Styela clava: one gene and its partner. The protein of the gene in region 1 purifies or fractionates together with the protein of each later gene. This does not show direct contact. Links are inferred from orthologs where the notes say so. Each region holds a gene or a part of one and is shown on either strand. Other genes may lie near its edges.

Evidence for each region. The genes of interacting proteins can lie anywhere in the genome.
Region 2: the proteins of Golgi phosphoprotein 3-like (region 1) and ras-related protein Rab-11B-like purify together in Drosophila melanogaster (affinity purification with western blotting; 3 studies listed by BioGRID, with this or other methods). This does not show direct contact. The link is inferred for Styela clava from reciprocal best matches to the Drosophila melanogaster genes sau and Rab11.

Annotation. Positions count from the first base shown.
Region 1 is NC_135252.1:1,475,099-1,483,360, reverse strand, and holds the start of Golgi phosphoprotein 3-like, read left to right. Parts: upstream 1-4,801; 5' UTR 4,802-4,934; coding exon 4,935-5,038; intron 5,039-5,739; coding exon 5,740-5,950; intron 5,951-6,162; coding exon 6,163-6,255; intron 6,256-7,149; coding exon 7,150-7,400; intron 7,401-8,262. UniProt on the Drosophila melanogaster protein: Phosphatidylinositol-4-phosphate-binding protein that links Golgi membranes to the cytoskeleton and may participate in the tensile force required for vesicle budding from the Golgi.
Region 2 is NC_135262.1:17,158,477-17,167,069, forward strand, and holds the start of ras-related protein Rab-11B-like, read right to left. Parts: upstream 3,479-8,593; 5' UTR 3,320-3,478; intron 3,064-3,319; 5' UTR 3,029-3,063; coding exon 2,989-3,028; intron 1,127-2,988; coding exon 931-1,126; intron 603-930; coding exon 409-602; intron 1-408.

The DNA of each region.
Region 1 (8,262 bases):
GAGATTTTTCTAACGGCTATAACGAGTTCGCCGCAAGATTGCAAAAATACGTATCAAAATTAAATGCATTAGGCAGTTTCACATATTTTTATATCCAGAGATCGCCGTGGTATTTTACGTGAGTGATGTTTTTATTTTGATATGAGAAGACGCAACCGTTACGTTGGACTCAACTAAATTATTATATTAGGACATTTTAGAACATCGTAGTTATTATAAATTGAATATTTTATGCAACAGAAAAACCATTATACGCTGAAAGGGCGACTCTTTTAACGAGCGCGCAATCGCGGTGACCGTGACAGACGGCAATGGAAGGAATTTCCGATTTTCAACCCCCCTCCCCCTTTTTGAAAATCCTGGCTGCGCACCTGACTGATACCTACCTTTTTAGTCAATTAAAACTGATACCTGTGATACCTTTTTTAGTCGGGGCCCCTGGTACGGTACAGAACCGGTAGTCCGGTATGTTAATAAATTACCGAGTTAGACGAATGCTGGGATGTCACATTGCTCATCGAAAGAGAGACGTTGTATAATAAAATCGAGATCTGTTTGTGATTTATCTTCAATAAGAGAAAATCCGAAAATGATATGGTAACTTACCGCTAGCGACCGAGCCTCGCACGATGTTGATAAACGTATTCCAGTTTATTACATCCAGCCTTCTGATTTCATACCGGTACCGGTCGGTACCAAATTTTCGATAGTCAGTACCTGCCGTGACGCACATGCATTTAAAAAATTAGAACCCATACTCCAATATCTCAATCTTACTACAGTACCGTACCATACTGCCATATGCTCAACTTATCCATTTAATAAATCTGCTTATGTCTGTATGTACCTCCAGACTTCTATGCTAAACTTGATTCCGTGGCAGGTGAACGCAACACGCCTGAGTAGACTTGTGCTCTCAAAAATGCATGTGAGCAAAAATCAATTGAAGGGGAGAAAATTCGGAAAATGTGTCAATCCTAATAACCCCCACCTGACTAAGCCACGCCAAATGCTGGTTACCAACTAAATGGCCTGTCTTGAAAAGCAAGCGCAAAAACTACTTCGCCTGTATAAAACTGTTTATCACAGTTTGTTTGTTACGATTATTTAACCTATGCGAAATTCGCAACATCGCCATCTTGCGTGACAGGACTGTGCTTCAAAGCACCAGTTGGCATGTTCCGTTTAAATAATTTAAAAATTATTTGTCCAAATTTATATCAAATGGGGCCATTCTGTCAGTTGCACGCTAACAATCTACAAACAATCTTGGTAAGTTTGCACACAGGCTCAGGGGTTTGGCATGTCACACTTTGCACGCTGAGATTTTTGGATTTATTTCAGGATCTATACGAGTTGTGTACTAAAGTTGTTCATCCAGTTTACAAGCAACTTCGTTCCCATAGCTACAAAAACCGTAACTACTGAACTTGCTAACTCTGAAATGTTCACTCAAAGTCAGTTCTGTAGTTAGTTGCATTATACACTCCAAATACTGAAATACAACCACTGCTGCACTGACAGTTTGACTTTTCAGGGCTCTGAATCTACTGTATCAAGACTAGCAAAATGATGTCATACATAGACACACATGGCATGGAAGAATTTGACCTATCTAAAGAGAATACGATCAATGATATATTATATTTCTAACTAGATTCAATACAATTAAACCATCATGATAAAGTTGCTAGACACTTAGAAATCGTTTCTTTTTTGTGAGTTATAGTAATCGCAAAAATATCGATAATAAATGCAACCAGTGATAAAAATCTAATTCAAAAATCCCCACATTCCAATCATGTATTATGTTTTAGCCTATTATCCCTTATGGTTTTTTGTTTGTTTTCGACAACTTTCCAAAGGAAAGTACTCAGCTATTTGGATTAAATATTATTAATCTATTGCTTGCTATCATTTTTATGTTTTTTTCTTGAAATTTGGGTTTCTGGAAACTTGGGTAGCACATCACCCGTCTATATTTTTTCAATATTAATTATGTTAGGTTATTAAAGTCAATGATCTGGAATTTGTCGTAACGCAACATAGGTAAACCACCCTATGCTATGCCTGAGAGCTTGGGCCAACACTGCTGTTCTCATTTTATAAACATTAAATTATGAAATTGTTGAATAAGGTACCGGTGGCGGTAATTGTGATTGAAAAATAATAGCTTAGTGGCGATATTGACTAGATTAACTAAACATAGCCTACTTTGTCAGATTTGTCCTAAACGTATTGCAAGTTTAGCATGCAAAAATCAAATAGCAATTCAGGATAACATATTTCGGGAAAACCAACAGGAAAGACCTCTGATGTTATTTTCAATACACCAGGAAACAGCATATTATGCTGATTCAGTTAATGGAGAAAATTACCAATTTATTGCAAAGAATTTTTTGTTTTAATTGATGAAAAAACGTTTTCAATGATGAAAAAAGATTTGGGTTTATTTTGAAATATTGTAATTCCATAAGAATAATTGAATCAAAGTAACTATTTGTTGTGGATATTGCAATAAGTCAATATCAAGTGAAATTCTAATTGCAACTCTATATGCCACGTGTATTTATTTGAAGTTTCTGGCTCATTTGATACTTTTTTGAATAAAAATTACAACCAGTTGGTTTGAAGATCATATATAAAAAATTCTACGAGGTTCGAAAGCATAGAGATAATGTAAAATCATCAATTTGAAGCAATAAAACTAGCCAACTATGACTGAAATCCTGGAGTAGAAGTCCTGGAGTGTTATTTCCAATAATACATTTTAACATTATTGTCTTAATTTCTAATCGAAGTACAAGGTATGATTAAATATATACCAGTATAATCAACTGAATAACCTGCAGAATTTAGGCAAGAATATTTATATATTCTCTTCTTGTCATTAGGATCATAAACTACGAATTTCAAATTCATTCACTTAAAACAGATGCAGAGGTAAAATCAGAGATATGGATTAAGGTTGCTTTTAATAGTTACGGTAATCATGACATATTTCAAGCTATAAGTGGTTTAAAACAGTGTGGTTTCTGAAAATTGGAATATTTTTACAGTCATATATGATTTAACTTGCCTTGAGAAAGTATAGTGAACATTTTATGTATGTTTGACCAAAATAATTTTATGCCTATGGCATTGGTTCTCAAAATTTGCTATGTACGCCCCGAAAATTAACAGAATTGTGTTGTTATAGCTACAGTACTATATGGTTGAATATTTTACATATCGTTTTATTATAATGTTTTATTGTTTCCTATTTTAAATGCTGTGTATATAAATCAGTGAATTCATTTTTACCTTTCTATGTTGTTTACTTTCTGTTAGGTAGTGTCTGCCTCTATTGTTATGTAACAATGGAGATAATCCTAGTTGCTGCTATTTCATGAGCTGCAGTTTATTTATCTTCTGAGTTTAGCAAACATGTTTTTAGTATTCCGAAGGAAATGAAAATAAAAGACATCCCCCCAAAATAAGCCCTAGTGTTATTTTTCGAAAGAAAATTCAAATAAAACCCTGCCTTATTTTCAGGGAAACACGGTATAATAAAGTACTAGACATAGGGCTTTGTTCTGCAATTGAGTTGACAATTTGTTAGTTTGCAGACACAGTGTAGGATACACATGCCGCAAACCATTATCCATATTGTCAGTTTGTCTGGTTAAGATGACACAGTATCAATGTCATTATTTCATTACCAAGTTAATTCTGTTAGTTCTGTTTTATTTTAATCTATAAAGAAGATGTTTTGTAGGGCTCAGACTCTTCAGTTTGGAACAATTCCTCATTCTTGGTTTTTCAACTTATTTGGTAATATTTTATAGAAGTGCCTGAGGCAAAGGAACATATCTGTTCTTATAACATGAACTATCATCACTTGTGACACATCTTTCCCCTCAGGCAAAATCTGGTATTTCTAGTTGACAAATTTTAAGATGAAGACTGTAATTGCACTACTTGACTATGCCATGAAATTATTGAGCTTTTAAATGACTTATAGTATGTATTAGGCTTCAGTTAGAGTAAAATATTAGAGTTATTTATATCATATATATAACAATATAATAGTTGTCAGTTCATCCATGGTTACACTGTGTCGTATCGCAGGGAATATCATTATCGTAATCAGTGAGATTGTATTTGAGAATAATGATTCTTATATTATCTTAGCCATAGCATATTTTCATAACACCTCAATGTGAAAAGGTTTCTTCCATCAATGAATACTACACAGTTATGAAATACTGGTGCATTAAAAAAAGTTTTGAGGTTTTCAAATTAATAATGTTCGAGAAACAATATAACTCATTACCAGTAGTATGTCCTTGGTCAGATTAACTGCGAAATTACATTTCCATGTTCCAAACAGTATGTACCGTAAGTTTCTTATTTCAGAAGCAACCTAGTCAAAGGTCTAAAGGTGTTTCACAAAGTTGTGGTAAAAATTACAGTAACTCAAATAATCTTTGTAGTTGATTTGTAGTAATATAAATTGTAGACTTACTATTTCTTCTCTATTGCTTTTCAATTGGTGTATTATAGCAAATATGAATATTTTTTATTTAGTCTTATTAAGCCGTGCTTAAATGCTGCACATATTCACAAATTATGATTTTTAATTGTTGTGGCCAATGTCAGGCCTCATCAGGCAATTTACAGCATTGATCGAACACATTTTTTTGTGTGTAAATTGTTATGGTGGTTATGATTAGTTCTTATTAAACAGTAGAATGAGTTTATTCCTGTTTTACAACTTTAGTCTCCTTAGACCAATTTTATGCAATTGTTTTTGACATGCCAATTTCATTTACAGCTGATGACTTATATAATATAGGTTATGTGATACACCTGCAAAAACATACAGTCTGTAATTTTTTATTGCTTACTTGAGGTTTAGGAAATTTGAAGTTGTAATACACAAGATTATCATCATGTCTTCTGGGCTCATTCAACGGAAGACAGAAGCTACTATGGCTGCAGCCCAGATGAAAAAGAAAGAAAGTCGTAGTGATGACGAGAAAAGTGATGATGATAGGTTTGTAGTTCATTTTTATGTCTAGTTCATTTTGCCTACGTTATATCTATTGCATCAGAAATGCTCTAGCCAAGAATTTCTCAAAATTATCCCTCCACATATAGGAGGGCACAGAGCGGCATTGTGGAGGTCAAGAACAGATATTCACTAGGTCACCGTTCATGATAACTGCATTAATTTAGAGTAAACTGAGAACGATTTTTTTGTTTATTTCACCGTAATGCATTCTTTTGCTTTCATTTGTTGGCTTTTTTTGTGTTAAATTAAAATAGCTGATGGCAATAATAATTTCTAAATTATTCTTTGCATTTTCCTGCTGTTCATCAATTGAGTTGTTGATTTTCTTTTGAATTAAACACCATGGGAGATATATTTGCGGTAGACAAAGTGTTTTTTATTATTTTTCAAGTAAATATACGTCAGAAACTCAGAATGGTGTGTAAAATCGGTTAATCATAACCAGCCCTACTGATCAGCCATACAATCAATAGTAAGCATGTTCTTGTCGCTTATTAACACATTGCACCGATCGTGGATACTTATTAATTGTAAACAATAGCTACAACCTACTGTGCATTTTTATTTCATGTTCATTGTTCTTTATTTGAATGGTGTTGTATTTCAATTTTAACATAGAGACCTCAGACACCCATCGCTAGTTATTCTGTGTTTTTACTGACTGTGTGCATACTCTATTTCAGAATGTCTGATAGTGGGGACAAGTCTATGCGATTAACTTTAATGGAAGAAGTTCTTCTGATGGGTTTGAAAGATCGTGAAGGTTACACATCATTTTGGAATGATTGCATATCATCAGGATTAAGAGGTTGCATTCTGGTTGAACTTGCTTTGCGTGGAAGGATTCAGCTTGAAAGGCAACAAGCAAGGAAAAGAAAATTGTTGGATAGGAAGGTTCAGAAACATCTCTTCACCAATCTTTAGAAGTTTTATTTTTAATTACTCATTTTGAACAGATTTTATAGTAGTCATAGCAAGCAAGCCTGAAGTTGTACCACTTATTTAGGGAATTGAGGTTTAGGTATTAGAGTTGTTAGACTAAATTTTCTTTATATTGTTTTTTTACTTACCGTACACATTTTTTTACGCAAAACTCTGAATTCCAGGTACGATGTAAAAATGACGCACCTACTGGGGATGTTATCTTAGATGAAGCTTTGACACATATTAAGAAAGGAGAAACAGAAGAATCAGTTCAGGTATACATTGTTCTTTGGTCTAATAATATTTGAAAATATTTTACATCAGGATGCAAATTACTGGGCGGGCAACATTTGCGCAGGTGCTATTTTGAATTAAATTTCCTTCCGTTGGATATCCAATATATAGATGTCAAGCGGAATAAATACTAGAAATTAGAATACTCACAATTCCTTGATTTCACCTGAAATGTTCAAAAAATGTAATTGCTCCGATGAAAAACTTCCAGTTATACTAACTTTCATTTTTTTCCTGAAACAACAACTCCCAACAACGAAAAGAAGAGAATTCCTTCTTCGAATGGTCCGATGTGTATATAATGAACTTTGTATGACACCAGTCTATGAAGGAGCCCAGAGGATTTGTGTCTGCTTTATTCCAATATAGTGACATAGAAAATATCTCTATCAAGCATATTGTTGGCTAAATCAAACCACCCATTCCTAGTCGAAGAGGTGAACTAATATTCGAACTGAATGCCCGTTTATGGTAACCATTATTGAGTTCAATCGTTCCAAATTTGATGTGGTGCCAAATTATTTAATTTCAAGGTTTTTTTATACAGTTTTTTTTAAATATTATCCTAAAAAATTTGAGTATACTGAGTTACAAAAGAAAAGCCTTTTATGACTACTTGAATAAGATTCAAACTGTTTAAACCACAAGAAAGTACAGAGTTAGAATGTTACAAATGAAACCATAATTTCATAGAGAATTAATTTTACATCGCTTCTAACGTCAAAAACTACTCAAATAACCAGACCCCCTTATTGAAAACATATAGCACCAACTGCACAATATACACTTTTCATTTCGGTGATGAGTGGGTATTTGATAATGAAGATTATCAGATTCAATCTTGTAACTTTGTTCCGATGATTAATATTTTGCAGGGATGGATAGATCTGCTGTCTGGAGAAACGTGGAATCCTTTAAAATTGCAATATCAATTACGAAATGTACGGGAACGCCTTGCCAAGAACCTTGTTGAGAAAGGAGTTCTAACAACTTCAAAACAGAATTTTGTTTTATTCGACATGACCACACATCCTGTTGTCAATGATGATGTAAAAGCAAGCCTTCTAAAAAGAGTTCAAGATGCTGTTTTAACTAAATGGCCAAATGATGTTGAAAAGATGGATCGGTCAGTTTCTCATACTATAGTAACTTCTTTTTTACAGTGTAAAACATATGAAACCTCAAGTGATGCATTACTTTAGTTATATTTGAAAAATCAATCATGCTCACTCCTTTTTGCTTTCCTGCTAATCAGTGATTTGTGTTGTTGAACTTTGTGCCAATATTACTGGTTGGGTGAAACTCTGGCGGTTTACATGATTTGTAACTGTATGTGGGTGGGAAGCCCACATAAATAACAAATTCCTCTATTTTATTTTCGCGAAACCTGGTTTTGTTCGGCGCATCGTGCACTTGATTACTGTACTCTGCGTGCTTTCGTAGGTTTGAATCACGTGGGCAATTATCACACACGAAAGAATTGCTGCCGTAAGGCACGGTAGTTTGCTTACCTTATTGGTCGACAAAATACGGCCGGACGCTCCATTAAATGGACCTTTCCCCGACCTTCAACCCCGGAAAATTCTTTCTATGCTTTACCATTTTAAAATTTTCGGTGCTTATTTTAAGAGTGGTTTCGCGAGTTGTCGCCTGTAAAATGGGGTATTTCAAACTATCATTCGAATACATACCATTCAACAATCTATTTTTTTAAATTACCGGTAAAGAATTTTAGCCTAGTCTATCACAGCTATTTTCACTTTAATTTTTGATTACTACAATTAAACTGAAACTCCTAGGAAGACAAAGTGATCATTGAATTATTTGATTTTTATTTAAATTTCCGAAACACAACTAAAAACAAACGAATCTAATTCAAAAACAGAGAAATTGAGGTAATGTTTACGACCACGCCTGAAAATCTGTCTGAGCGAAAAAAGCGTCTGAGCGGATGCAAAAGGGGGCATTGTTACGTTTATTTTTGCATC
Region 2 (8,593 bases), on another chromosome or scaffold:
GACGATTCTTAAGAAAATTTTCGTTTTTATGAATCATACAGGGTGGCCATAAATGGTTCCATTACATTTGAACCCACGTACATTTGAACCCATGGCAATTGCACCTGTATGCTATTGCACCTATGGAATTTTTTTTGTTTTTCGGATAGTTGAACCCACACTAACCCTAACCCATGAGTTTTAGCACCCGCATATAGATTGAACCCGTGGATATACACATGGGTTCAAATGTACATGGGTTCAAATGTACGGTCACCGCCATAAATACCTATACAATATCAATTTTGTTATGAAGTCAGTTCTCAATATTCATCTGTGAGCACCAAAACAATTTATGGTATCGATAAATTCCCTTTGCAATTGTATTGTACTGCAATTGTACTGTATTTGAAAAAAGATGTAGCTCACCTGAAAATGCTTTCGCCTCATCAGAAGGTACAGCTCTCAAATGTCGTAAATCACTCTTGTTTCCGACTAACATGATGACTATATTGTTATCTGCATGATCACGGAGTTCCTTCAACCATCGGTCAACATTTTCATATGTCAAATGTTTTGCTATATCATAAACTAACAAAGCACCAACTGCACCCCTGTAGTACCTGTTAAGCAATAAACAATTTTTTCCATCTTTCAAGCAGGACAAATGTAGGCTTTTTTATTTTAGAAGCGTTCAGCAATATTTTCTCCAATCTCCAAAGATATTCTCATATATTCCTTTATTGGGCTCATATTTCAATGTAACGTGTGCCACAATTTGAAATATATGGTTTTTTCAAATAAAAATGAATGGTATGGAATAAAAAATAATCATACTACAACAATATAGTGTCTATATCTATAGCAATTATGTCATCCCAACAAAATGTACGGTCAGGTAATGCAGCCAATATTGCAGATTAAGATACTATATGATAATGATAATCTTACGCCGATGTGATGGCCCTGTATCTTTCTTGTCCTGCAGTATCCCATATTTGAGCTTTGATTGTCTTCCCGTCAACTTGTATACTTCTCGTTGCAAATTCTACACCGATTGTACTTTTGCTCTCGAGATTAAATTCATTCCTCGTAAATCTTGACAGAAGGTTACTTTTTCCGACACCAGAATCTCCAATTAGGACAACTGTAAAATGAAAAAAAAATCTTTGTTACACTGGGATGTTCTGATTATCCCAAAAGATACGAGTTGAAAATGAGTAACATAAAAAAAAATCTGAACTGCAGTGGACCTCAGTTAAAAAACAACTTTTTAAAATCAACTTGGTATCATTAAAGTTGTGTTCACAAGTGCATGGCTAGAATTGTTATTTATATCGACGATACCGTCCCTATTAAACTATCAGTTTGGCTTATCAAATTAATAAATGAGTTTTAATCTTTACTCATAAACTAACGATACTACAGAAAACTTATCCATTGTAAGAGCTCATGACTGAGGGTATAATAATCCATAGAATTAAATGTTCAGGTGTCTATTGATTTATTTAAAACATGTGCATGAGTGCCGATTACATACCTGTGTTTTTAATTTGAGACTACCAATCAATGTTAAATTAATTATCATGCCAATTCAAAGCCGAAACAATAACGACGAACAGGGTTTATTTTACATTACCAAGTAGCCTTTCAATTCAAAGTATTTTAATGATGTTTGTGGTTTTAAGGTTAATGAGAGAAGTTTTTATCTTGGATTTTCCAACTAACAGGTGATTTCAAATTTATTCTTCAAATTCAGAATATTAAAATTACTATTCTGACACTGACACCCATCTGGTATCTTTCTTCATATCTATTATATAACATAATTTCATGGTATAGTATTGGAAAAGAAAATAGCAGCAGAATAATGATACCTCTAAAGATCTCTCATTCCAAAGATGAATGACTTAAATATAAAAAAGACATCCATGTTCTAAAAGCCCCAAAATTTGAGTAAATGGAATCTCATTGTAAAAATTCATGTTAAAAGCTAGTTTGAGTAAATGGAAACTCATTGTAGATGTTCATGTCGAAAGATAGTTTGATATGCCTGATTTCAGGTACAATACAATGGTATTTCACATAATAAACAGTTGATGCTCTTTTTGTAAATATGAGAAAGGTCTTGTCTGGGTGCAAGCCGGCACCAACATCAGTGATGCAATACCAATAGTTCAATAGAAAGCTAATGCAAACACACAATGTATGTCAAATTTGTCTATATACTGCAAATCATTTATTAGCTCTGATGCATTACATACCCAACATAGTTGTATGCATTGATATTTAAAAGAAAATTCTTATATTCTCTTGTTATCAAGAGCTATATCAAGATAAATATCTTACACTATCTTGTATAGGCTACTAATTATAATTTGATACCAATTTAAATGTCTTCACAAAACATGTATATTTTAATAAATTTAAAAAAAATATATATTTCTCCATTTGAAAAATGCAGTCATTTTAACAACAAAATAAAGTACTACAAATAAATTCTATATATAATCAACCGCAACAAAATGATGGCCAAAAAATTGATTAATATATATGACATTTGAGTCCAACGGCAAAGCATTTTCTAGTCTAGCTAAAGTAATAATGGTGATATTACATAACCTAGTGAAAAAAATTCTAGTGTAACGTGATGTATAATTTTGAACTTTCATTTTATTAAAAACCGCCACTTTTGAATTTGTGGATGTGTAAAGGCTTGTTCATGAGCTCTAATAAGATTTCAGTTGTAAAATGCTTTAAAATAAGTATCAAAATAATTAATGATTAACAAAATTATGAATCGGCCTGAATAGACAAACACCACAGCGGTTGAAAGACCATATATATCGAGAGTTTGTATTCACAATATAGAATGTAATTTGAATTGAGAAATATGCCTATATTTGGTCTGGAGATAAATGCCTAATTTAACAAAGGATCAAGCTAGTCACATAGTATATGTCGGACATACCAAAATTTCATTTAGTGTATTTATGCCTTGATACAAACCTTTAAATAAATAATCGTATTCATCATCTTTAGTACCCATGATTTGAGTTTGTGATTTTGATTTTCAAATTTGCCCTGTGAAGATAAGTATAAAAATCATTACGTCAACGACTCAGCATCAAAAATTCAGACATTGTTCATCAATGTCGATATGCAACCAATATATTTAAAATTCAAAGGAATACATTGACATAAAAGTTTTTAATTCAGAATTACAAATTCTGGCAAATCTATGGGAAAATTTTTTAAAGTCAAAAAGTGAATATAATTTGGTAGAAGTATAACTTTTTATTAATAATGATATGTTTGATAAAACAAAACTAAAACTTACTGGTACACTGGTCCAGAGATCAATAAGAAATCCAGGTAGATTGGAGTGTGATACCCAATTGCTAAAAAGCAATTAACTGTACTGTTCTGTGGCTTGTAGAGCTTAATTAGGGAAATATGTCAATCACACTAAAATAGTCAAAAAAAGAACAAATCATATTTAGATCTTGTTTGGGCGCTCCAGAAGTACGGTATGTGTACCAATATGAAGGTAACTAATTTTGTTCAGCTACTTGACATCAAGTGTAAAGGGATGGGAGCCTATGGGCAGGGGGTATATTCACTTGGCTAACACAAACAGTGCCCAAAATCGTAATAGGACTAAAATAAGGAAAATCGGAATAAAATTATGGCCTAACCCTCACCTGGTACACATACTATGGAGATACCCTTGTTTGATATGACACTGTATGGCCACCCTCATGCTCCATGGAAACTAAACTCTCGTCATTAAAAGAACGTAACATGGTACCATTGATTGATTTTGGGCCACATTGAAAATATTATAAAGAAAGCAAGGCAAAATATAAAGTGACAAATCCATATTTTGCAAAATTAAAACTAAAATAAATATGAACTGCTCACACAATAATTAGTTTACCATTATAAATTTGGCATATGAAGGAATACTCATAAAGGATGCAAATAACAGAAACAAAAACATGGGCTATTTGATGAAACACACCATGGTATGTTCCACAACACACTGGTTTGCAGTGAAGTAGATCAAGGTGTACCAAATAGGTTTTGAGCTCAAACAGAAAGCTTATAAAATGCTTGGTCCATGCTGCACTGTTTGTTTTCAAACTACCCTTATATATTAATTAACAATTATTGTTGGGTTATTTTTACTTGATCCAAGCCTTCTGAGCATAATGAACATGAACCGTGTGGGCTTTGTCAGCATTTGAACTACCGGTATTTCACACCTGTTTTTCACTGAAATGGAGCATACTCTGCAATAATTGTTAACCCTAGGAAAATACATAGGTATGTAAATCGCATAGTGAAGACTACTGGATATAACAAAGCAAGCACTTCAGTAAGATATTAATATGACACTGCTGATATTCGTAAAATGTCAGCAACCAAAGTAGGGCCATTCCAAGGAACTGTTGAACTTCATAAATTTTTTTAATAGTGTAGTGAAAGTAATTGTTTTGTATTTTTTATATCAAAAGACACTTGAACGTTATTGGACTGCATTCATTTCACCAAAAAAGTTTAAATTTCATCCAGGTTTTTGATGATTTGAACAAAGTGGCCTGAAATGTAGAAATTTTGTTTTCTGGTGACTCATAACATGAATTGTTTGATTGTCTGGTACAGTTATTTCATTTCGAATAGATGCACTAGACTTGAGTTTGAGCCTAAGTGTTTGCAGTGCTGTAGGACATGTCTTTACCGATTTAACGATTTATTACCAGAATTTTAAGAGATGATAGAGGCTGCTGTTCCAAAGAGGAAAAATGTGTCCCGTACAATGTGCACATTATCGTCATGGATCTACAGTGTTACATTGAGTAACTTGAGTGACACAGAGGGGTCTGTCCTTCAGTTATTGCACCAGAAAATAGCTCTTGCTGTACTAACGCGACAATTTACAACACAACACAATGAAACGTTGATGCATGGTGAACTTGCCGTTCCGTAATGTCACGCTATATTTTATATCCACTAAGTGAATCTTGTTTTTACCTTTCGTGCAGTTTTGTTCAAACCCTCATAAAGCAACTGATTGGACAATGATACAAAACATGTAGCTGACAATGTGAAAATATAGTACATCTCACAAGTCCGTACATTGTTCCGTAGAGTCACTTGGAATAGCCCAGTACGCAAGTAATAAGTTCCAAACGGACGCCAAGAGCAAGTGGGACAGGACTTAACAAATCACAGCTAACCCCAATACAGCCCATGTTACAAAGGCACAATGATATTCTTTCGCTTAGAAAACAATAATACAAAAGAAAAAAATCATTGAGTCTAAAATGTTTGATGGAGCCACATAAACAAGTATGAATGAACTTATTACAGTATTTCTGTATTGTGGATGAAACAAATGTTCAAAACTGGGGTACACGTCCTCAAGTACTTCTACTGGCAGACTGGGCGTAGGATAACGATTTTCGCATATAATATTCCTAACCCCAGCGACTTCGCAGTGATGTAATTTTCGGATTACGTAGTCAGGTGGGGATTAGGCATGAGATATACAAAAATTGTCCAGCCGGGCCAATTAGAATTACTTGCTGCGTGTACTTCACGAGACCCCAAAACTGGAACCTATTTCAGGCTGTTTTGCATGTATTTGAAACAATGTTCGCAATGGCGTAGCCAGGGGGGTGGTTTTGCGGGTCGAAACCCCCCCCCCCCCCCTTTTAAAATGTAAAAAAAATAAAATCAATTTTCTGTATCATAGATAGCAATTTTCCGTAGCTTGAAATGCTTTTTAGACCCACAAGACTACTAGAAACAGGCGTATTCCAGAGTTCGATCGAACCCGCTAGCAGTTTCGGTCTAACTTGGCAAAAAAAAATTCAGAACCCCCCCCTTCGAAAATTTCTGGCTACGCCCTGGCATGTTCGGTATGATAGCAGGGGTCTGGTGTAGTTTCATAACTCAAGTACTTCCAATGGGCGTAGCATAACAACTTTTGCATATGTCAATCCCAATCCTAACCTCCACCTGACTGCGTCACTGAAAAATCACGTCAGGACGTCCTAGTGCAGTAGTGATGTAATAGGGCCCTTCAAACTATAAGAACTGTCATCCATAATGGGCAGGCGATCACCTAAATTTAAGCAAGCTATTTCTCTCGTTTTTGGATGACATCGTCAGGTGGTGGTTAGGATTGACAAAATCGTTATGCTACATCCACTAGAGGTATTTGAGATACGATACTACACAAGACCCGATAGCAGTCCTTAGCAAGCTTAATGCAGTAATGATTTCATGGTGCCGCGGTGTCCAGTAAAGTCATTATAACGATATGAGTTTTTTGAATCCAACTACTGAACTACAATATTTATCTGCAAGATGAGTCCTGTATTCTTTCATGCGCCTCGAAATACAGCATCACTGTACCTAACAGATAGATTATCAGAAACCTATAATGCCAGATCTAAAATCAAACGTTTAACCGCAAGCACACTATTTCATTGGTGGACATTCAGACATTGGGGTCTAGTAAAGTTTAGTACCACAAGTACTTCCAGTGGGCGTAGCATAACAATTTTTGCATATGTTATTCCTAACCCTCACCTGACTACAGGACTATGCCATCCAAAAATTACGTCACTACCACGTCATAGGGATTGCCAAAGTATAACTACGATCGCCCAAAATGGCATCTGCGCCGCCGATCAGAACTTGCTAAAGCCGGCGATCTCTCTCCTATCGTGATCGTTGTGACGAGAAAAATAGCTTGCTCGATTTCGGGTTATCGTCTGCGCGTTTTGGATGACCATCCGCATACTTCGGTGAGCCGTATTACGCCACTGTGACGTCGGAATGACGTAATTTTTCGGTGACGTAGTCAGGTGGGGGTTAGAATTGACATATGCAAAAATTGTTGAGCCAGGCCAACTAGAAGTGGATGTGGTACTAAACCAGTAAACTATACCAGACCCAGACATTGAGTGGGTGTATAACTGCTGAACTGTATAATGGTATCTCTCAGATGCCCCAACCCTTAAACTGATGCCTAGATGAGAGGGAATTTACAGACTATCTACGTACGGTCCCGGTACCGGTACTATATAGCATCAAAATTGTTACAATAGCATTGTGAGGCAAGTTTTATTTTTCATTGGAATGCAGGAATGGCATGCTATTTTCGGGTGGAGACTGACTCGCCATGGAGGCTGGTATGACATACCAACAGTACCAATGCGGTAATTCAGTAATATTTTGATCTAGCCAGACTGTACAGCTGTAAGAGAACTAGCAAATCGCAAGCAATACAGCAATGACCGACTGACGTCTCCACCGTCAGTCGTAGTCTACCGATAAGGTGCTGAAATAACTCTGTATCGTATACCGTAATAGTATAATGAAAATCAGATAGAACTACATCCTATCCCTGGATACGTTACACACAAGGTGGTACGCCACTTACATTATTCAACACCCTCGCATAAAATACGATAATACGACTAAATCAAAACGAAACAAAGATTTGGCCAGGCCGGCACAAACGCCCCGATGTCTCAGATTGAAACGCTTGCGCGATTAATGTGACGTCATAAATAACGACGATTTCAGGAAAATATGAGCTCACGTGACGGAAGTTGACAGGAGGAGGATGGGGTCGCGATCGGGTTTGCCGGTCGTGCATTAACTTTTGTGGTGTTTTCCCGCAGTGGGATTAAATATTTTGAAAACGAATTATTTTTATATCGAACTCACTAATAACAGCTTCTCTCATTTCAGAAAATATATATGTCACTGAGTTCTACCGTAAATATGGTTCTACCGGTACTCCTATCCTAATGATCTTGCTGTCCTGGATAAGGATTACGGAGAAGGTTCGTGTCGGCTCCGTGGAGGGAGAGAAAGGAGAAAAAGAGTAAATAGCCATTGTGGTTCTATGCTATTAAAAGTTAAATGAATCAAATACATAACTTTTGTAACTTATTTCCTGCAGTCGTGTAACGGATAAATCCAAAACGGGTTCGCTTATTATTAAGACATTTCAGGAACGGGTTCGAGCCAGTATGTTCCCCAGCTTTTCCATTTAGGGGGGGTGTTTCGAAATTTAGGGGGTGGTAAATAATTTGCTATTTGAGATAAAACTAGGCTATTTGTATTCTTAAAAAAATGGTATGTATTTAAGAAACGATGTACAAGAGGGGCCCCCCAAGTTGATTGACGGCGAGCCAAAATCCACAGCAGAATAAAATTGTAGGGCCAGAAAAGGGCAGCGAGGAAAAGTGCGGGACGGCACGGCTGGGGTTCAGGGCGCTTAGAAAATTTTGAGAAATAGGCACCAAAATAGGCTCTAAGCTTGATTTTAGATACACCTAGCATCGCAGTTTGTTATGTAATGAAATCAATAATTATAATATTTAGCTGATAGAACTCCCGGGAAATAGATAATAAAGCAAGGCTTTCAACCGTAACTATATACTACTAGGTTTCAACAAGTAATTTGCAATTGATAGTGACTAATGAAGTTACTAGCTCATCTGGTATTGTATGAATGGCTACTTATGGCTTGTTTTGTTACACATTTCACATTGTTTTTAACATGTTTGTTTGAACTTTGTATGAA